Cricetulus griseus: one gene and its partner. The protein of the gene in region 1 binds, or shares a complex with, the protein of each later gene. Links are inferred from orthologs where the notes say so. Each region holds a gene or a part of one and is shown in the gene's direction. Other genes may lie near its edges.

Region 1 (10,191 bases):
GAGAAAGAGAGAGAGAGAGAGAGATGCAGACATACATATACACATACACATAAACATACACACAGAGACAGACATATACACACATATACAAACACACACAGACAAACATACAGAGAGACAGACATACACACACATACAGACAAACACACAGACAGAGAGAGAGAGAGAGAGACAGAGAGAGAGAGAGAGAGGAAGAGAGAGAGAGAGAAAAGAGGTGAAGAGAAAGAGAGTGATATTGTTTATTGGCAGTGGTCATACCACTAACAGCTATGTCTTGTGTGATTTACATGCAACAAACATATACAAATGGGAAACCTGACCAGGAGACAAATCTTTACTGTTAAAAGCCTGCTGTGACTACAAACTCATCCTTTAAAAATTGAAAGAAAAAAATTATTTTTAATAGGATCCAACTGTATTCTTCTGCTTTACTTGATTTGTTATCTTGAAAGTCTACTTTAATATGCCTTTGTAATTAAATAGCATCTGACCATGATGTACTTACTTTAGATAAGTATTTTGAAAATGTTAGTTTACTATGTTTTATCATGATACTCAAATCCAGAAAACAAGATACTAATTATTCTTAAATAAACATGCTTAAAGTTTATTGTTCAAAAATATCAGTAGTAGATATGAAGTGATAAATCTGTCATGTGATATTATATTAGTATATAGTAATTACATCTTGTGTATACTAATATGTCTTTTAAGACATTAGTGAGCTTTCTCAAACCTAGTCTTCCTGAATGGACCTACCAATTCTCATACGGATGATTTTTTCTAACTGAGATACATTTCTCTAGATGATTCTTTTTCTTTTTCTTTCTTTTTTTTTTTTTTTTTTTTGATACCAGAGATCAGGCCCTCTAAGCACATGCTTTACCACTGGGCCATAACAACCTGCCCTTTGCAGGTGACTATCCCAAACATAAAATTGAAGTTGCTATATGTGACAAGCATTACAACAGGCAGAATTCACCTGTTTTATTTTGTGAAGTCTCAAAGCAAAGTATATTCCCAAGTCCTATGAGTGTGATGTGATTAGATCTTTGTAGTGTTTTAGAGCTAAATATAGAGATAAGAAGGAATCTCAAGTCATCTTTTCCTAGTTCCTCTTCTGCAGATAAAGCAATTAGGGACCATAGGTATTACATAATTTTCTGTAAACCATATAGCTGCTTTATCACAGAGAAGAAATCAGAAAGTTGACTTCCTGGCAGCATTGATGGTAGTGTTAGTTCTACTGTCTTCCAAGAGGCCAGACCTCTCTCATCTCTCAGTGACTCACAGTAACACAGAGAACATTTTCCTTTTGTCTTTGGAAATTAACCATCACTGATAGAAGAATATATAGATATATAGATATATCTGGTCCCCAATGCATAGTGACCATCTTTATTTCTGAGCTTTAACTTCAATCTTCTAGGAAACAGCTGCCCAACTTCCATGTCTTCCTTTGATTCTTCATTCACAGGGTGGGAACTGGGCTGATAATTTAGTTCCCTGGTAGAACACTTGTTCTACCGCATGTACCAGGCCCTGGGTTCCACCCTTATCACATCTTAAAAATAAATTTTAAAAAAATTACCGAGTTAAAAACACTAATACCTAACAACTTCTAAAAAAAAATCGAGACCAAGAGATTAACTAAGTGTTGGGGTTTGCTACTTTCTCTTTATCTTTATCTGCTGGGGGAGCAGTGGCTGCCAATCTGACCTGTAACCCACAAAAAGCACAGTCCCACACCACTTCATCCCCAACATAAAAGCCATGACAGGAAGTATGAGCTTGCACAGGTGTCTTGCTTAACCCTGTTTGTATCTTTGCTCAATACTCACCTGATGTGGGTGTAGCTGAAATCACCTGGACTCTAAATAAATGAATGCAACCAGCATTCTCCCCTTTAAAAGAAAAAAAAAAATTCCAGGAATGGGAACGCAACCTATAATCTCAGCACCTGGGAGGTAGAAGCGGGAGGATCAGGAGTTCAAGTTCATCCTCAGCTACATAGCAAGTTCAAGGCTAGCCTGAGCTATATGAAGCTCTGTTTTGTTCAAAGAAACAAAACGTTTCTCTACTTCAGATCTGTCACATTCAGATTTAGTACCACCAAACAGGACCTAGTCTCTTCCTTTTCCAAGCCCCTGGTGTGTAAAAATGCTAAATCTGCCTGTGGATCAAATTATGTCTAACTTGTAACAGTGTTAATTAGCAATACAGACAATTTATTCATGAGATTTAGCCTTTTTTGAGAACTTCAACTTATGAAAATATGCATTTTTTCAGATTCTAGCAGGGCACTATCTTAATGTATCCTAATTAAAGTGATTTTGTAAGGTTTTGGCTATTTTTGTTAGGTGAAGGAAAGCAGAACTGTCAATGTAATAAGTTATTTTCTTTAACTATTTAAATTAGCTGTTGTGTTGCCCACTAGGAAAGATAAAATGCATCTTTAGGCATGTTAATGTCCAGGAATGTTTATAGTTCCTTGTCTATAAAATTGTAATCATAGGAGGGGCTGGAGAAGAAATATCTCAGTGGTTAAGAACACTTGCTACTCTTGCAGAGGACCCAGGTTTGACTCCCAGCACCCACATGGTGGCTCACAAGAGTCAGTAACTTTAGTTCCAAGGAATTCTATGCTTTCCTCTGGCCTCAGAGACATTTCACACACATGGTACAAAGAAATATGTGTGAGCAAAATACTTATACACATTAAAAAATAAATCTTTTTTAAAAATTTAACCAGAGAGCAAGTGAGATAGCTCAGCAGATAAAGGAGCTAGCCACACTAACCTGAGCTCCATCCCCAGGACTCACATAGTGAAGAAGGGAGCCAACTCCCACAAATTGTCTTCTGGCCTTCTATACATGCAACATGCATACATACATACACACTAAATAAATGTTTTTTAATTAACCAGAACTTAGGACAGTGTAATATATGAGAGTCACTTAATAATTTTTTAAATTTATTTACTAATTATGTATACAGCATTCTGCCTCCATGTATGCCTCACACCAGAAAAGGGCACCAGATCTCATTACAGATGGTTGTGAGCCACCATGTGGTTGCTGGGGATTGAACCCGGGTCCTCTGGAAGAACAGTTAGTGCTCTTAACCTCTGAGCCATCTCTCCAGCCCCCCACTTAATAATTTTTATCAAGTAAAAAGACAGTGTGGGGTAGTCTGTGAAACAGTAAATGATTCTAGCAACTTCTATCTCACTATATAATAGCTCTGATTGTTTTTTCCAAATTTTATTTCACAATTTCTGTGGTGTTTTGTTTTTATTTTTATTTTGTTTTATTATTTGCTATGCTGGGGACCAAACCCAAGGCTTACCATGTATGTTAAGAACATACTCTACCACTGTGACCCATATACTCAGCCCACAATTTCTTCATCTTTTAATGTCATAATTGTTACTTTCTTTCATGTACATATTGACTCATATTCTATTTTTAAACTTGGTGTTTTGAAGTTTAATTCTTCACACATTTATTGTATACTATATGTAATTTGTTACACCCAGGAGCAAAAATAAAACTTGGTATTCATATAGCTTCTGTTCTAGAAGAATAACTAATGTAAACCCCTTAGAAATGTTGTAAAAGCTTCACATTAATATATGCATACAAGCAAGCCTACCATTTAGAAAGCTTTTTCAAACCCCACATAATGTAATATATAGTATATAATATAATATATAATATATAATATATAATATATAATATATATATACCCTCTTTGGGTATTGGGGTGGCTTATTAGAATGTTCCTCGGGAGACATGTAGTTTTAGAATGTTCCCAAGTAGTTCTCATACACTCTGCCCCTTTTCTTCCACATTTCTCAAAAAGACAACAAAACAAATGATTAGTTCTGTGTGAGAGAGGTGGTGGTTAAGAATGGCTTTGCAGGAGACTATGAAAGGATCTTCTACACGTTGTTAAATTGTTGTTTTGCATATATTAATGGGTCTAATTGTGGTATTTGCATATATGTATATCATATTCACCTCCATTACCTTTTCTTGTCCCTTTCCTCTTCCAAACTAGCTAGTCCCCTTCTACTTCCATGTTATTGTCATCATTGTCCTTCTTCTTTCTTTTCTTCCTCTTCTCCCTCTCTCTCCCCCTCTCCCTCTACCTCCTCCTTTTATTTTGTGACCTAGTGAGTTTACTTAGGATCACTTACAGAAGCATGTGTGAGGGTTACTTACAGGACCTTGGGCAACTTACCAGTGGCAACACTACTGAAGAAAATGCCTCTGCCTCTACAAGCAACCATAGCTACCAATCCTCAGAGAGGGGTGGGGCCTTGTTGGGCTTCATGAACATGTGTTTTATTCATTTTAGTTCAAAATGCTCTATAAGTGCTAAGTGCTGAGTATAATAAACAAGAGTTTAATGAACAAGACTCCTGTCTTCATGAAGACTACAGACTGGAGGAAAAGAGAAAACATTATTATTAACTACTATGGCCAGAGTTATGAAAAAGAGGAGAGTAGTGTCAAGGTCATAGACAGAGGGAGCCCAGTGGATCTGGGGACCAGGTGGGAAGGCCCCTCAGTAAGCTGACATTTCTTATCCCAGTGCAGCTAAAATGGAAGAGAATAATGGGAGGCTGCAATTTTGACTGAAAAAAAAGGGGGGGCAATTGTTTAAAGATTTCTTTTTGAAGGGGTCATGTACAAAGGTTATATTTATCAAAAGTATCTAAACATATTCTGATTTAATGTAAACTAGAGGCAAGCATCTCTATTGAGTATAATTGTTTTATTAGTGATAAAGTATAGGGCCAACTGAGATGAGTTTACACATATGAGACTCAGAGATACAAATCAATCTTTTATCTAAAACAAAATTGAGCTGGATATGGTAGTAACCAAGGATGCTAGTTCAAGGATTTTCAAGTTCTGGGCCACACTGTGCTATGCAGCAAGACCTAGTCTCAAGAATATAATATAAAAATAACAAGAGTTGAGCTGTAGCTCAGTAGTAGAACATGTGTTCACCATGCACAAGGCCCAAGAAGGTCTGAAAAGAATGTCAGATCCCCTAGAATTTGAGTTATAAATGGTTGTGAGCCACCAAATGCATGCTGAGAATCAAACCAGGGCCTCTACAAGAGTAACACATGCTCTTCACCACTAAGCCAACTCTCTAGCACCCCCATTTTAAATTTATTTTTTAAAAATATTTTTAAAACAACAATGAAGAATGACCACAAAGAAAAGCATTATTCAAAGTGACATTTTTACAAATGATATCAGAAGGAAGGCAGGAAAATTTATTCAAGTTGAAAACCTATAAACAGATTATTATTAATTTTATTTTCTGAGAATGAGATGTAGGTCTAACACATGCCAGGCAAGTTCTGTCCCCAGACAACAATTCACAAAGATTAATTCCCACCTTAGGCTCTGTGGTCTCTCTTTAATCTTTCTTTTGCATTCACACTTCCTCACCCCTTGAGAAGCCCAGGATAAAGGTGTCTTTCTGATGAACCTCAATAAGGGGTAATTCTACAGAGTTAGCGATAAGTCCAACTCCATCCATTCAATGTCCAAGTTCTCTGATCTACTAGATGGAATAAAGCACCATCCTTTCTTCACATCAGGGACAAGCAGATCACACAAACTGCCTGAGAACAGAGCCTGTGCTTGTACAACTGGGACTTCGTAGCTCCTTACTTAATTCATGAAACATGTAGATCCTCCTACCTGACCTTTTGTGAAGTGCAGAAGTTACCAAGATAAATAAGACAGTGTCCCTGCTTCAGGACATTGTAGTACAGAGGGACAAGAGTCAAATAAAGTCATAATTAAAGTGCAGTGTGAACACTTGGATCATTGGATGGAGTACTGGGAAAAGATAATTAGCTGTACTTGAAAGCCTGGCTCTTAAAGGATGGATAGGAATTATCTCTCAATTACTTCATGTTTGAATGAATGTGTATTCCTATTTGCTAAACAGATTCTTCCAATTTCCTAACAGGATCATATGTTGCCTTTTGAAATTGAAGAAGTAAATAATTCAATTTTCAGTTTTCTGTGCTACTGTTGTGAAATAAAAACATGAGCAAAGTGGTGGATAGAAAGCAGAACCAGCACGGGGTGGAGAGAGGAGGGGCTCCTACACTGTGGGAACCAAGGCTGGGGAGAGCACAATGCAGAGCCATAGTAATGATCCAATGATTCATCCTGTCATTCCTCTTCCTCTGTAGCCATCAGGTTTGGGCGGATGCCACAGGCCGAGAAGGAGAAGCTGTTGGCGGAGATCTCCAGTGATATCGACCAGCTGAACCCAGAGTCTGCTGATCTCCGGGCCCTGGCGAAGCATTTGTATGACTCATACATAAAGTCCTTCCCGCTGACCAAAGCCAAGGCGAGGGCGATCTTGACAGGAAAGACAACAGACAAATCAGTTAGTTCTCTTCTGCTCTCTTCATGGGGGTGGCTGGAGCCAGGGGTACTTTCTTGGACTAAATGATCTGCCTCAGAATGCATGTGTATGCAGAATATAGCTCAGCTGTGAACTGTTAAAATCTTGTGGCAGGCTGGGTCCAAAACACAGGAAATGTATTCAAATAGGATAAGTAAACATTGTTCTGAAAAAAAGAGCAACTCCTCCAAGCTGTAGTTTTAAAAACACACACACAAAAAAACTTTGAGAGTAACACACGAACTCATAGGTGATCACGATGCTCATGAATGAATGTGAAGCCCTCTCATGCCCCTACCCTCTTTCCAGACCCATCTCTTTGCTCAGTGTCAAAATAACTGGTGAGGACACAGTGTCTCAGCAGCCGTGGAGGAGGCTGAGCAGGTGTAGAAGGTGTTGGATCCCACTTTTACCTTTCAAGGGTTCCGGAGTCATTCTTCCCAAGTTGAAAGTTGGCACAGAAGTCCACCCAGGGTATCATGAAACCTGTGTTCTTACAGTACCAAGCTTTATTCCTGGGAAACTGGCGACTCTATCCTTTTATTATATACATGAATCCTACTTTCTAAGGATCTAAGCTGCCTAAGCTACTACAATGGAATATTTTATTATTTTATTTTATTATTATGGGGGTTTGTGCTAAATATTGATTAAACTCAAAGCCTCAAGCATGCACGTACACCTGTGCTAGAGCTGAGATACATGCCCAAGCCTCAAAAGGATCCTTAAGCGACATTGTTTAGAAAATTCATAATAGTTGAAAATCATTGTGGAGTCCAGTTTTGTAGGAAGCAGAAAGCTTCCAACATGAAGCTGAGAATCAACACCAAATTGCATTAAAATGAAAAAATACATGCTGCTTCCCATTCCACTGTCAGCTGGGAGCATGACTGGGTCGAGTCTCTGTCCCTCAGTTTTTACAGACAGGGTCTGGCTTTGATGATGTGGTCTACAGAATGTCTGTAGGCAGTAAGAGCTGCAGATCCCATGCAGAAGACCTGGATCCAGCTCTTGAGAACCTTAGTGAACATGCCCAGGACATCGAGGCAACTAATAGGTAGATTCATGTAACTTGATACACATTTGGATTTTAGAAAAAAAATCATATTTTGTTGACTCTCTCAGGTGATCTCTTTCTCTTTAATTAAATGACTTAGAGCATAGTCATCTAATGGCTGTGAGAAAGAGCCACATGCCACTAAGAACAGTTGAGTTTCAGATACACAAGGGCCCAGATCCTGCAATTCCCAAGTATTTTATACATTCTTTACATTCCAGCCACGGGGCCATCTGAAGGCTGCTATTGTTTACTACCATCTTCATTTAAGGAGAAGGAACTGAAGTGGAGAGGCATGTGCACATAGACATCGGAAGGCTATGATGTAAGCTTTCTGACGTCTAGTTGGGAGCATTCTCGGCATGCTATTCCCAGGACCACACATAGTACAGTGCAGTCTGTCCACTAAGCACAAAAGGCAGCCATAGCAAGTGAAACATGAGTGAAGACCTGTACACAGCTAATCTGACTACAGAAAATAAGCTTACTTCATTCCCATGTTGAAAGTAAAGGAAGACTGCAGCCACATGACTAAAGAGAATGAAGACTTGAAGGCAAATTGCAACAGCTTGCCAAGAGCAGGTGCAGCAAAGAGGGTTGGAGTTTGGGATCTCAGAACAAGGCTCTGGGGAGGGGGTTGCTGAAAGGCAAGGAGTCCCATAGTAGTCAGTTCAGTTTTACCTAAACCCATTCATTTTGCAGGCTCTGGGCTCTTATCGTCTTACCTCCAGCACACACCTGAAATCCATGCTGGAAATCCTATCAATTTAGTACTACTTAGAAGCTAAGTTGGAGAGGAGAGAGAGAGTGCAAGCCAGCCCACCCTAATAGGCAAGAATTTAAATTTATTTAATGGTAGCCAATGTAGTCCTATCATTGTTCTGAAAGACACAGAGCCCAAACCACTAGAAATCACTTGGAAACCTCATCCCAACTGACTTTTTGGCTCTAAATCTTTGAGTTAAAAATAAGATAATTGGAGGCCCTTTGTGAAACAAATAGCTATTAAGCTATTTAAGGAAGGGGCTACAAAAGCTTGATTATAGACTTCTCAATTCAGAGGCCAAGGGTTGTCATTTTTCCCTAAAGTAAGTAGGCTTGTGCTTTGCCCATAATAGTTACTCAGACTATTTGTTTAATTGAATTAAAGACTGTTGCTATGCCCTTTGAAATTATGGACTTTCAACAGAGGGCTTTTCACTAGCCCAATATTTGTTCATCAAACTAGACATCATTAGTGATTGGATAGTGACAAAATTGCCTCCAGTTAGAGTCTAGAAAAAGAAAAAGAGGCCCAGCCAAATATAAACAACCCATTCACTGATTATACAGAACTAAAATCAAATTGTTTGGCACTGTTTTCTCCTTTTCTGGTGAAATCAAACCAAGCACCAATGGAAAGAAATAGTTCAGTAGAGAATATGGAAGAGAAACCCAAAATGTGATTTGAAGTGAGATTTGTTCTTTATCAGCATGGTCCTATTATTCATTTGATAGCATCTATCTCAGGGGTGTTATGTTATCTCTTGGCCAGGACTGTGAAAGCTAAGATTTGCATTGATAGGGAAAGTTTTGCTGAAGTGTGGCCTCTCGAGATGGTGGGGGATGTGAGAAAGTGGCTGAGGCCATGAGGAGAGCAGCTTAGGTCTCATTATACACACAGCTTGCAGCTGATGTCATCGAATCAGTTAGGCCAAGCCTGGGGGAGGCTGCTCAGTGTAGTGGATGACCAATTACCCAGAACCCTTGCTAAAGGAAATGATCAGACTGAAGAGGCCATTCTTTACGTTTATCTCACTGCTCAATTTAACCATAGCCTGTTAGGAACCCACCAGCTGCTGCCCTCTCAGCCTTTGCCTCCAGGCCAGCAGGAGCCACTCCCCCTTCTCAGCTACACTTCCTCCTTCTATATCTTATCCCCTTGGGCCACTCACACCTTTCAAAACAGATAAATTAAGTGTTCCTGCTCTCCTCCTATCAACTTTAACATCATATCTTTGGGATAAGATACCAATATTTTTCATCATCTTGCCTCCAAAAATATGGGCTGGGTATGCTAGGCTCAAGGGGATGTGGGCTACAGGAACCCTAGAGAAATCTTAGGAGTGGTATGCCTTTTCGCCACCCTCGAACCCATTCTCCCCACCACCTGCTTTTCTTCCACTGGTTTGCTTCAACCACAGCCCCTCCCTTGCTGAAGAAATCCTATGGATCTCTGAAGCCCACACTGTGCTGGAAGGCAGTTTGATAACTGAATGGACTTTGGGGTGTTTGACTATCACGTTGGTGCAGTGCAGTGGTCACATGATCCCATGTTTGTTGATGAAAATAAACTGAGTGGTTTTCAAAAACCATTCTCAGTGCCATGGCTTGTCATAAAACAATAAATAGAAAAACCCTGGGTATGCCTGCCAACTCTTCACTGAATATCTGAGAGTGATGCCTGGTGAAGCCCTGGTTTGTATTCTATCTACAAATAGGAAATAAAACTTTTTATTTGTACTGTGTTGGACTTTGGGTTCCAAGGCATCATGTTGTTTATGACAGGCACATGTAAAGTCACTGTTCTTGTAACGACGGGGGCAAACTGGTGCCATTTGGAAAGTGACCATTCTGAATAGTATATGAAATACAAAACCACTGAATCATAAAGCCCATACAGAGCTGTAAACTGCTATGGAAA
Region 2 (10,977 bases), on another chromosome or scaffold:
CCATCTTTTTAATTTTAGAAAAGCTTTCAAGTAGCTCAGGTCAGCCTTAAACGCACCGCACAGCTGTGGCTAACCTTGAAAGGCTGATCTTCACTTCTGCTCAGGGTTGGGATTACAGGTGTATACCACCATACTCAGCAGTGTTTCTTGCTACCCATACCCAACAAATCTCAAGTCACTTTGGGCCAGGAGTGGGAGAAGCGGCCGAGCAGTGGGGGACTCACAGCGCTCGCTCTGCATGTAACGGGTAACTCCTTCAAGGCTCAGCTCATCCAGCAGACGCTCCTTCTGGGAGCCCAGGCCCAGGGTCTGGGAGAATAGATTCCGCAGGAAGTCCACTGACCAACAACAAGAGAGACAGTGCCAGGTGGGCATTGAGCCAGGTTCCAAGGCCCTCACCCCAACCGTGCAATCCTACTACCCTCCCACCACTGAAGTCCCCATGTCTCCCACAGCCAGCAGCCCCCAGTCCCAAATCCATTATTACATCACTCCTGGTAGCTCGAGGGAGTAACCCCCCCCCCCCCCGAGGCAGACGCCTCCCAGCCCTTCTCCAGGAAGACACTTACTCTCTGCCTCTCCGCCAGTCGCTCCTCCCTCAGTGTCCGAGTCTGTATCCTGGAAGGGGCAGGTGGGATGGCCAAGCCCAAGAAGTGGGGTTAGGGAGAAAGGAAGGGGGAAGGAATGGGGGTGACGCCTGGTTCAAAGAGACTAAGGGCTCTGACTGGGAGGTGGCCTGAAGAAGTAGAGGGCCAGAAAGAGGGCTCTGGGACAGGGAGGCTGCCTATAGGGAGGGAACCCAGGTCTCCTCATGTGACTGACATTTTAGGCCTTATCTTTTGTTGAGATGGGATCTCCCTGGCTGGCCTAGGACTGGCTCTGGAGACCAGGCTGGCCCAGAACTTCCAGAGATCCACTTGCCTCTGCCTCCTGGCTTAAAGGCGTGTACCACTATGCCTGCCCCCAGTTTTTCTTTTCTTTCTTTCTTTTTTTTTTTTTTTTTTTTTGGTTTTTCGAGACATGGTTTCTCTGTAGCTTTGGAGCCTATCCTGGCACTCGCTCTGGAGACCAGGCTGGTCTCGAACTCACAGAACTCACAGAGATCCGCCTGCCTCTGCCTCCCGAGTGCTGGGATTAAAGGTGTGCGCCACCAACGCCCGACTCAATTTTTTTTTTAGACCGGGTCTCACTATATATCCCTAGTTGACCTAGAACTCACTATACAGAATGACACCCTTGAACTCAGAGAACTACCTGCCTCTGGCTCTTTCTGACTGCTGGAATTAAAGGCGTGTGCCACCATGCCTACCATGCTTTTTTGAGATAGGGTTTTATGTAGCCCAGGCTGGCCTCACACTTGCTATTACGTTTATATGACATTGGAGATCACGTCCGACATTGTAACCAGTTGGCCATCACAGCCTGACAAGATGCTAGGGACTGTGAAGCCAGCCAGGGCTTCATGCACACTGGGCTTCAACTTGTCCATGCAGTCCAGAGACTGCTGCGAGGCTGAGCAGTGAATCCCTTGGCCTCTCTCTCGGCTGGTCCTCTACACTCCGCTGAGTCACCTGCCACAGCTAGGCTGCAGCCTAGTCACTGGTGATGCTGTTTCTCTGTCCCCAGATGGGAGCCTCTCAAGGTGACCTCAGCATCTCCCCGAAACCAGCTCCTGCTCCCATAGGGATGCCAAGTGGCCTCACTGTCCCTCTACTCAACCCTGTCCTTAGCGCCAGTTTCCAGTGTACCCACTCAGCCTCCAATATCCCTCCATTCACCCCCTCTCCCCACCCCAGAGCTCCGCCTGGTTTGGCCTGTTCTCTCTCCTGGGGTCCTGCTCTGGCTTTGTTGACTCAGTTTCTGTTTCTGATCCTCCTATTCCCCAATTATGGTAGCCTGTTTAGGGCAGTCCACCCCTCTCTTCTTTAAAACCCCCCTGAATCACAAACATCTACCAAGTGCCATAATATCATCAGCCACACAGCACAGGACTTTTTTTTTTTTTTATCTATGTTCACCATTTAATGCCCAGCCTAGATAACAGGACTTCCAGAACCATCTGCCACTAAATGTATGTAGTTGGGTGCTAGGCCAGAGCTGGCCTTGCAGTAATGTCAGAAATAGTCTGCCCAACTCAATCAACTAACTGCTCAAAAGTCCCCAGACTACCCCTTCCTTACTCTGCTTCCAAACCTCCTTTTCAAATTATTTTTTAAGAAGATTCTTTTGTGATTATTGCCTTTTTGAGACAAGGTCCCACGTAGCCCAGGTTGGCTCCAACTTGCTATGTATCTGAGGGTGACCCCCACTTCCTGACCCACCTACTTTTATTTCTGAGGTGTTGGAATTGCAGGGGTGTGTCAGCACCATGCCTGACTCGAAAAAGTGATTCTTTCCCGACTTTTAAAATCACACAAGCTATGCCTTTAATCTAAGCACTCGGGAGGCAGAGGTAGGCGGATTTCTGTGAGTTTGAGGCCAGCCTGGTCTACGGAGTGAGTGCCAGGACAGGTTCCAAAGCAATACAGAGAAACCATGTCTCAAAAAAAAAAAAAAAATCACACAAGCTGGCAAGAGGGCTCACCAGGGGAAGGTGCTTGCCACTAAGCCTGACAATCTGAGTTTGAACCCGGGTTCCTCGTGGTGGAAGGAGAGAACAGATGTCCTCAGATCACCACACATGCACTGTGGTGTGTGCATCCTACCCACAAAACAAACAAAGAAGCCAAGTTTAGACGTTAAAAAAGAAATCATACAAGCTTTTCTTTTTCTTTGAGGAGGGAGTCTGACTGTTTCACCCAAGCTGGCCTCTAGCCCATGATCCTCCTTTTCAGCCTCCTGAACTTTGGCATAATAAACACATGCCAACACAAAGCCAAGCAGCTGTTAAAACAGGAAGAACTCCAGCTGTTTTCTCTGTAGGAGTTTTTACTCATTACAGATGTGGGTCTTGCCAGAGTAAGGTACCTCACAGTGTTTCTCAGACCCACCTCATTCTTTTCTTTAGATTTATTTTTATCATGTGCTATGTGCATGTGCGTGCAAGTGCTCATGGGGTCAGATCCCCTGGCACTGGGGTTACAGTCCCTTGTGAGCTGCCTGATACGGGTTCTTGGAATGGAACTCGGGTCCTCTGGAATAGCAGTGTACATTCTTCGCCACGGAGCCATCTTTCCAGTGTCCCGCCCCCCACCCCATTCTTTATTGTGACTCCAGACTAACACATTGTGTGGTGAACCTTAGTTCACTGACTCCCTCTCCCGACAGCCACTGGGGCTATTTCTAAGGCTGCCCTGCCTGTATAATGCTGCAATTGACATCCCCACATCTTCTTTGCCACTGAGAATCCTTTCTGACCTTGAGACGCTTTGGTCTGGCATTAAGTCTTATTTTGGGAGCCAGACAAGTAAGATATAGACACCCACAGCAGGCTGTCCCAGCTGGGCTGTGCACTTATGGGGTGTTGCTGACCACAGCTTCTGTACCTGCCTCCTTTTGAAGAGCGGTCTCCCAGCGATGGGCATGCTGGCATTCAGGGGTTGTGGCACTGTCTAGTACAATGTGGGCCTGAGATCGCTTGGGGTCTGAGCGACCCTTTCACAGGGGCCAAAGATCAGACATCCTACATATCAGACATTTACATTACAATTCATAACAGCAAAATGACAGTTATGAGTAGCGACAAAAATAATCTTATGGCTGGGGAGGGGAGTCACCACAGCACGAGGAACTGTATTAAAGGGTCACAGCCTTAGGAAGACTGAGACCCACTGCTCTAGTACACGAGGACAGCCTGGCCTCTCGGGGCTCTGGAGGCGTTGGCAAGTGTCTTCAAACATCTTTGAGATGGTTCATCTGCCTCCCCACTGAACTCACAGAGTCGTTAGGGCCCATTTTCCTACAGGTTTCAAGCCCTTCCCCTTCCCTCTACTCAAGTGACACTGGGCCAAGTTCCTCATCGGTAAGGTGTCCATGAAAGGCCTGGCGCTCACTGGGATGCCAGAGAGGTCAGATGGAGGTTATGCACCTAAAGTACACCATCCCGGCAACAACTACTGAAAACATTTACTCCTCCTCCTTGCCCCCCTCCGGGGGGGGGGGCTCACCCTCTGCATGGAACACCATATCTGATCTTATTTAAGAAAATTCTAAACCATTTCACTCATGACACTGTGACTACATCTTGGTCTTGTTCCTAGATCAGCTTGTGAGTTCCTAAAAGGAAGAGTTTGGCTAGACCCTTCTAGAATCTTTTCCAACCCACAGAGTTTGCTGTGCGATCCTGGAGAGCCCCCTGGGATTATGGCTACATGACACCACACCCACCTGTGCCAGTTTTATAAGCAACCCTATAAGGTCATTTCCCCCACCCCATGAAATTTGTGAGTTTGGGGATCAAACTAGAAAACCATCTCTTCCAGGCCCAGCACAAATGAGGTTCAGAAAGGGCTGAGGAAAGGGTGGGTAACAGTAAGAAGACAATATGGAAGGGGAACCATATTGGGCATTTTTCCTTGACAGTCCCCAGAAGCCACCATTCCCCAGGAGGCTGTACTAATCCCCAGATGGAATTAGGGACCAGAACCCATAAGCCAAGGACCCTTGGGTAAAAGCCTCCCCTTGCCACCTCCCCCCAGTGTGGAATGTGGAACCAAGTCCATCTCTCTCCTTCCCTCCAACCCGTTTCCCCATCTCACCTGAGCCTCCTGCACCTTCCCTGCCTGGGTCTCCACAGGGTCAGAGGCTGGGGAGGAGGGGGAGCAGACGTGGTTACAGTGGGGGGGGCAGTTAAAGGGATGAAGGATTCACAGTGGTGGAGGCAACGAGAGAACCCACTAACCTAGTTATCCTGGAGTCAGGGACGGTAGTAAAACTGTCGGAGACGGGGACAGGCATATTTTAGAGTGGAAGACACATGTGTGAGGTGGAAAGGCTGAGGGGGAGGTTTAGGAGGAGAAAGCAGGTGCGACAGGACTGAAGGAAGACTTCAGAGTCAGGCAGGACGCGGTAGTGTGAGTGCCAGCCAGGAGAGAGAGGGAGGGCGAAGTTTTTCAAGAGATGGAAATGGGGATACCTCGGCTGGAGTTGAGTGTGGGAGAGGAGATGGAGTGGAGGCAGGAGGTTTAGGAGAGACACAGGAACTGAAGGAATGAGATGGAAAGGGGCAGCAGGGGTTCCCGAACATCCTACAGTTGCCCCTAACACCAGATAACCTTAGCAACCGGGATCGTAGCAACTTTGGTCCTTAGCAACGAGGGTTCTCAGCAACCAAGGTGCGAGAAACGCGATCATTAAGAACTTGGCAAACGGACCCTTCAAGAAATCTCACAACCCAGAATCCCACCAACCTAGCAACACCGACCACTTAGCAACGGCCCTCCAAATCCCACTCCCTTCGTGCAGCCCCTTCCTCCCACCCCACCGAGCCTGTCCTCGGGCCCCGGGGCCTGCAGCCCAAAGCCAGGCCCCGGCGCGGCCCGACCCTCCCACCTGGGCCCCCGACTCACGATCCGGCTCGGCCATGGGAGCGGGGTGGGGGCCCTCGGAGCTGTCACCGACTGCTCTGTCCCGTGACGGCACCGGAAGCAAGAGGGGACCGAGATAGGCCAGAGGACTACAACTCCCGGCAGCCCACGCCGTCCTCAGCAAACCCTTTCGCGCGACGAGCCGCTCGTGGCATAGAACTACAAATCCCAAAAGGCCTGGTGCCTGAAGCCATATTGATAAAGGGCGTCTGGAAAAAGTGGGGAAACTCAGAGAGCCGGCGTGCATCTCATTATCCTGATTGGTTCTGGCGACGCACGGGGGCGGAGCGTAGCCATTTAGCTTGTTTTTATTGGGTAGATGAGGGGGCGTGTTGGGGAATTCCCGGCAGGGCGGAAGCGCTGGAGCTCACCGCAGAGCCCAGCGTCGGGCGGGCGACCACAGGGGGCCACCGAGGTGGCTGGGCCATGGCCGGGGTCGCGTGCTTGGGGAAAAGCGCGGACGTCGACGAATGGTGCGACAGCGGCCTAGGCTCCCTGGGTCCCGACGCGGCGGCTCCCGGAGGACCAGGGCTGGGCGCAGAGCTGGGCCCGGAGTTGTCGTGGGCGCCCCTGGTCTTTGGCTACGTCACTGAGGATGGGGACACGTGAGTAAACCTTAAATTACCTACCAAACGGAGCCCCGGGATCCTACCTGAGCCTCCATCGGCTTGTGATTCTGTGACTTACTTACTACCTTCTGGTTCCTACCCCTGACTTCCGATACGAGCCTTCCTGACCCATACATAACTCCCCCCACCCCCAATCCTAAGTTGTGAGTCTGGTTTCACCCACGGTCAAGCGTCTCGCCTTTCTTGGAACTGTAAATTTGTGCTCCTGGAATCCGCATCCTTACCATGGGTCCCCATACCGCATCTGAACCTTTCCAACCCGGTCCCCCCAGACCTTTCCCACGAATTCTGACCTCTTGCTTCCAAATGTGGCTTTTGATCCGTAGCTACTCTTGTATAAGCCAGATTTTGATTCCCAAAATTAGTCCTTGGCCCTGAGTCTACGACTCTTGACACTTCCAGCATTGATTTGCAATTAAGAAATTGAAGTGATGCCCGGCCGTGGTGGCGCACGCCCTTAATCCCAGCACTGCAGAGGCAGAGGCAGGCGGATCTCTGTGAGTGCAAGACCAGCGTGGTCTACAGAGTGAGTCCCAGGACAGCCAAGGTAGTTAGTTACACAGGGAAACCTTGTCTCAAAAAACAAGACGACAACAGCAACAAGAGAGAGAGAGAGAGAGAGAGAGAGAGAGAGAGAGAGAGAGAGAGAGAGAGAGAGAGAGAGAGAGAGAGAGGAAAGAAAAGAAAAGAAAAAGAGGGGAAAAAGGAGAGGGAGATTGAAAAATAATTGTAAAATTTGACTGGGGAGAAGGGCAGCTGTGGTGAAGGGCTATGCAAGGGATTGTACCCGGGATTTTTTGTCCTTTGTGCTTTTTGCGTGTGCCCAATGACTCAGTGCCTGACCCATGAAGGGAACATAATAAGCACTCTTAAAGAACCAGGTGTAATTTCCTTAATTTTCTTATTTTTCACTTTCTATGTTATTGGTCCTTGTTCCTTTATTATTTTATTCTGATTACTTTTAGATTTGAATTTTGTAATTTTCTTTCTCCTCCTTCCTTTTTTGGGGGGGTCGGGCAGTCTCATGTAGCCCATGATGGCCTTGAGCTTGCTGTTTAGCTGAGGATAGCCTTCAATTTTTCATCCTCCTCTAAAGTATGCATCATTATACTCAGCCAGGGTGTGTGTGTAGACTAGAGGATAACCTTGGGTTGTTTTGTTTTGAGACAGTCTTTCACTGGTCCAGTACTCAACACATCGGCTAGGTTAGCTGGCCGGAGAACCTTAGCTTTTTTCGAGACAGATTTTCTCTGTATTGCTTTGGAGCCTGTCCTGGAGCCTCTCTCTGTAGACCAGGCTGGCCTGGAACTCTCCTCCCCGGTGTTGGATTAAAGGCATGTACCACCAACACCTGGCTGCTTTATGTAATTTGAAGGTTTGTTATTGGAGCCATAGTGTGTGTGTGTGTGTGTTGCTGCCAGTTAAGCCTGAGGTCTTGCACATGTTAGGCAGGTGCACCCCCAACCCACATCCCAGCCCCTGCCCTAGTTTTCCACTTTTTTTGTATTTTGTTTTTTGAGTCAGGCCTTCACTGTGTAGCCTTACACTTGTGATCCTCCTGCCTTAGCTTGGGAAGTACTAAAATTAGAAGCTGGGGCTAGGGCTCTCATACCCAGTTTGTTTGTCTTTGTGTATGTAAGTATGCTTGTGTTTGGAGGCCAGTGATTGGTGTTCACTGTCTACCTCAATTGTTCTACACGTTGTTGTTATTATTTGAAACAAGGTTTCACAATGTAGTCCTGGCTGACCTAGAATTTACCATGCAGACTAGACTAGCCTGGAATTCACAGGGATCCACCAGCTTCTGCCTCTTTCACACAAGCCACCATTTTTGGTTTTGTTTTTGCTTTTGTTTTGTTTTTTGGTTTTTTTGTTTGTTTGTTTGTTTGTTTTGTTTTTTCGAGACAGGGTTTCTCTGTGTAGCGTTGGAGCCTATCCTGGCACTCGCTCTGGAGACCAGGCTGGCCTCGAACTCAGAGAGATCCGCCTGCCTCTGCCTCCCGAGTGCTGGGATTAAAGGCGTGTGCCACCAACACCCGGCTTTGTTTTTTTTGTGACAGAATTGCACTATTTAGTATTTGGCCCTGCTAGTCTAGAACTTACCATGTAGCCCAGTCTGGCCTTGAAGTAACAATCCTTCTGCCTCACCTTCCCCAGGTGCTGGAATTTGAGCTACTACAGGTAGCTAAATTCTTTAAAATAAACACTGGTAAGACAAAGTTGGTAGCTGGACCTGCTGTCACAGGCTTGTCAGCCCAGCTACTCGGGAGGCCGAAGCAGGAAGAACTTGAACTCCCGATCAGCCTGGGTAGTTTATGAAGACCCTTGTCTTATCTCAGAACACCAATCAGGCAGACAAAGGAAGTTGCTGGATTCGCTCCTGTCCCTGGCTCTCCGGGACACTGAAGTGTTTCCAGTTATGGCTACAGTTTGCAGCATACAGTAGACACTCGTGTTTACTGACCTCTGCCTCTGTCCCCAGGGCCCTGCACTTGGCCGTGATACATCAGCATGAGCCCTTCCTGGATTTCCTCTTGGGCTTCTCCGCCGGCACTGAGTACCTGGACCTGCAGAATGACCTAGGCCAAGTGAGCCACTGGGGATGGGCCCCCTAGGGAGCCGGGTCCAGGATTGTCAGTGCTGCCCTAACCCCTCCCCTCTATCCCTATAGACAGCCTTGCACCTAGCAGCCATCCTGGGGGAGGCATCCACGGTAGAGAAGTTGTATGCAGCTGGCGCCGGAGTGTTGGTGGCTGAGCGAGGGGGCCACACCGCTCTGCACTTGGCCTGCCGGGTGAGGGCACACACGTGCGCATGCGCGCTGCTCCAGCCCCGCCCCAGACGCCCAAGGGATGTCTCAGATACCTACCTCACTCAGAGCCAGGACAATACCACAGACACCGGCCCCACCCCTGTTGCTGTGAACCCTCAACCCAACCCAGAGATCGAAGAGGATCCGAGTGATGAAGACTGGAAGCTGCAGCTAGAAGCTGAAAACTATGAGGGTGAGGGCCCTGGGCCCTGGGAAGGACGAGAGCCCCTGGCCAGAGTCAGGGAAACAAACCACCTGCTCTTCTTACCCAACTTGAAACACAGCCGCTGGCATAGAGCCCTGGGTTTGATTCCCAGCATAACCTAGCATGGTGGTGCCCTTGGGAAGTGAAAGCAAGAGGATCAGGAGTTCAAGGTTGTCTTTGGTGCTTTGTAGTTTGAAGCCAATCTAGGTTCAGGAGACCCTGTCCCATCTCAGGGTATGGCCGTGTGCAGCTGTGATCCCAGCACTTGGGTGACAAAAGCCAGGAGCAGAAACATCATGAGATCATGTTAGATGCATAGTGAGCCCCTGTTTCAAAAAGAACCCCAAAGCAAAATCATCCCTAGGCTCCAGGAATCCCAGCACTGGGACTAAGGACCTCCACTCAGCCTGGGAGTGTGAAGAATTGGACAGACAGGGCTTCTCTTTCCCAGATCTGGTCATCAAACTACTTGCAGCCCAGACCTGCCACCCACAGAGCCAGAAATGCCAGGATACAGTGGTTGAGCCTAGGCTACCCATCTGCAAGGTGCCTTTGTTCCAGAACTGTTCCCAAGTATAAGCCACTAGCCCAGCCTGTCCAGGATGGGAGGACCCATCTCATGCTCCGAGCCATGGGCAGATGGTGCAGAGCTTACCCTCCTCAGTCAGGCCTCCTGGGAAAAGAACTAAGGTCATCTGGTAGCCAGTGTCCCAGGTCTTTTGTGCAACTCCTTTTGTTATTGTGCTTTGTTTTGTTTTGTTTTATTTATGATGCTGGGGATGGAATTTAAGAGCTGTTCATGCTCGTCAAGCCCCTGTTCTTTGTGAAGGAAGACCAAAGACTTGATCCTGTTGGTCCACAGACTATGTGCCCAGACTCATCCCTTGTAGATCCCAGATACTGTACCACTCAGGCTTACACCCACCAGCATGCTGACACCCAAGACTTAGGCATCTGGAATTCGGGAGCCAGCCCCCAAACCTGGTATCTTTAGCTCACGTGGCCTTTCCCTAGGGTTGTGACAGAGCTGAGGCGCCTTAGTTTATCTGACACTGGTTGCTCTGTCCCCAGGCCACACCCCACTCCATGTAGCTGTCATCCACAAAGATGCAGAGATGGTCCGGCTGCTCAGGGATGCTGGAGCTGACCTCAATAAACCGGTGAGCCACTGTGGTGGGCCAGTGTGTGAAGGCACCCTCCCGTCTTTGGTTGGTCTCCCTGACTGATCTGGCATATCCCACAGGAGCCCACGTGTGGCCGGACCCCTCTGCACCTGGCGGTAGAAGCCCAGGCAGCCAACGTACTGGAGCTTCTTCTGAAGGCTGGTGCTGACCCTACCGCCCGCATGTATGGGGGCCGCACCCCACTTGGCAGTGCTCTGCTCCGGCCCAATCCCATCCTTGCCCGCCTCCTCCGTGCACATGGAGCCCCTGAACCTGAGGATGAGGATGATAAGCTCGGCCCTTGCAGCAGCAGCAGCAGCGATAGTGACAGTGACGGCAGAGATGAGGGCGTGAGTGAGGAGTGGGCGTCCCCACGGGAGGGGTCAGGGCAAACCGTGGCGGATGCTCCCAGGGACTTAGACAAGGGACACGTGAGATGAGGAGAAACTTATAGACTTGGGCAAGGGTGGCGGTGGTGGCTGAAGAGCTAAGGCAATCTGTCCTGGTGGCACACACCATTAGTCTTGAATCTCAGTATTCAGGAGGCAGAGGCAGGTGGATGTCTGTGAGTTTAAGGCCAAAGAACAAAGACGAGCCAAGTTAGACTTCCTCCAGAGGTGGTCACGAACACAGGTAGGGAGGG

Evidence for each region. Proteins that work in one complex are often made in the same cells at the same time.
Region 2: the proteins of Pparg (region 1) and Nfkbib are in contact, whole or in part, in a crystal structure (PDB 9CK0), measured with the Homo sapiens proteins. The link is inferred for Cricetulus griseus from reciprocal best matches to the Homo sapiens genes PPARG and NFKBIB. Residues at the interface, in NP_056953.2 of Homo sapiens: Gln322, Thr325, Lys329, Phe334, Leu339, Gln342, Val343, Leu346, Lys347, Leu496, Glu499, Ile500; in NP_002494.2 of Homo sapiens: Asn286, Pro287, Ile288, Leu289, Ala290, Leu292, Leu293, Arg294, Ala295.

What each region holds. Positions count from the first base shown.
Region 1 is NC_048601.1:29,372,572-29,382,762, reverse strand, and holds part of Pparg (peroxisome proliferator-activated receptor gamma), read left to right. Parts: intron 1-6,233; coding exon 6,234-6,433; intron 6,434-10,191. UniProt on the Homo sapiens protein: Nuclear receptor that binds peroxisome proliferators such as hypolipidemic drugs and fatty acids.
Region 2 is NC_048602.1:7,099,438-7,110,414, forward strand, and holds the start of Nfkbib (NF-kappa-B inhibitor beta), read left to right. Parts: upstream 1-5,872; 5' UTR 5,873-5,951; coding exon 5,952-6,130; intron 6,131-8,636; coding exon 8,637-8,742; intron 8,743-8,825; coding exon 8,826-9,159; intron 9,160-10,242; coding exon 10,243-10,331; intron 10,332-10,414; coding exon 10,415-10,684; intron 10,685-10,977. Other genes in the region: Sirt2 (NAD-dependent protein deacetylase sirtuin-2), read right to left, coding at 225-338, 570-618, 4,698-4,744, 5,508-5,523. UniProt on the Homo sapiens protein: Inhibits NF-kappa-B by complexing with and trapping it in the cytoplasm.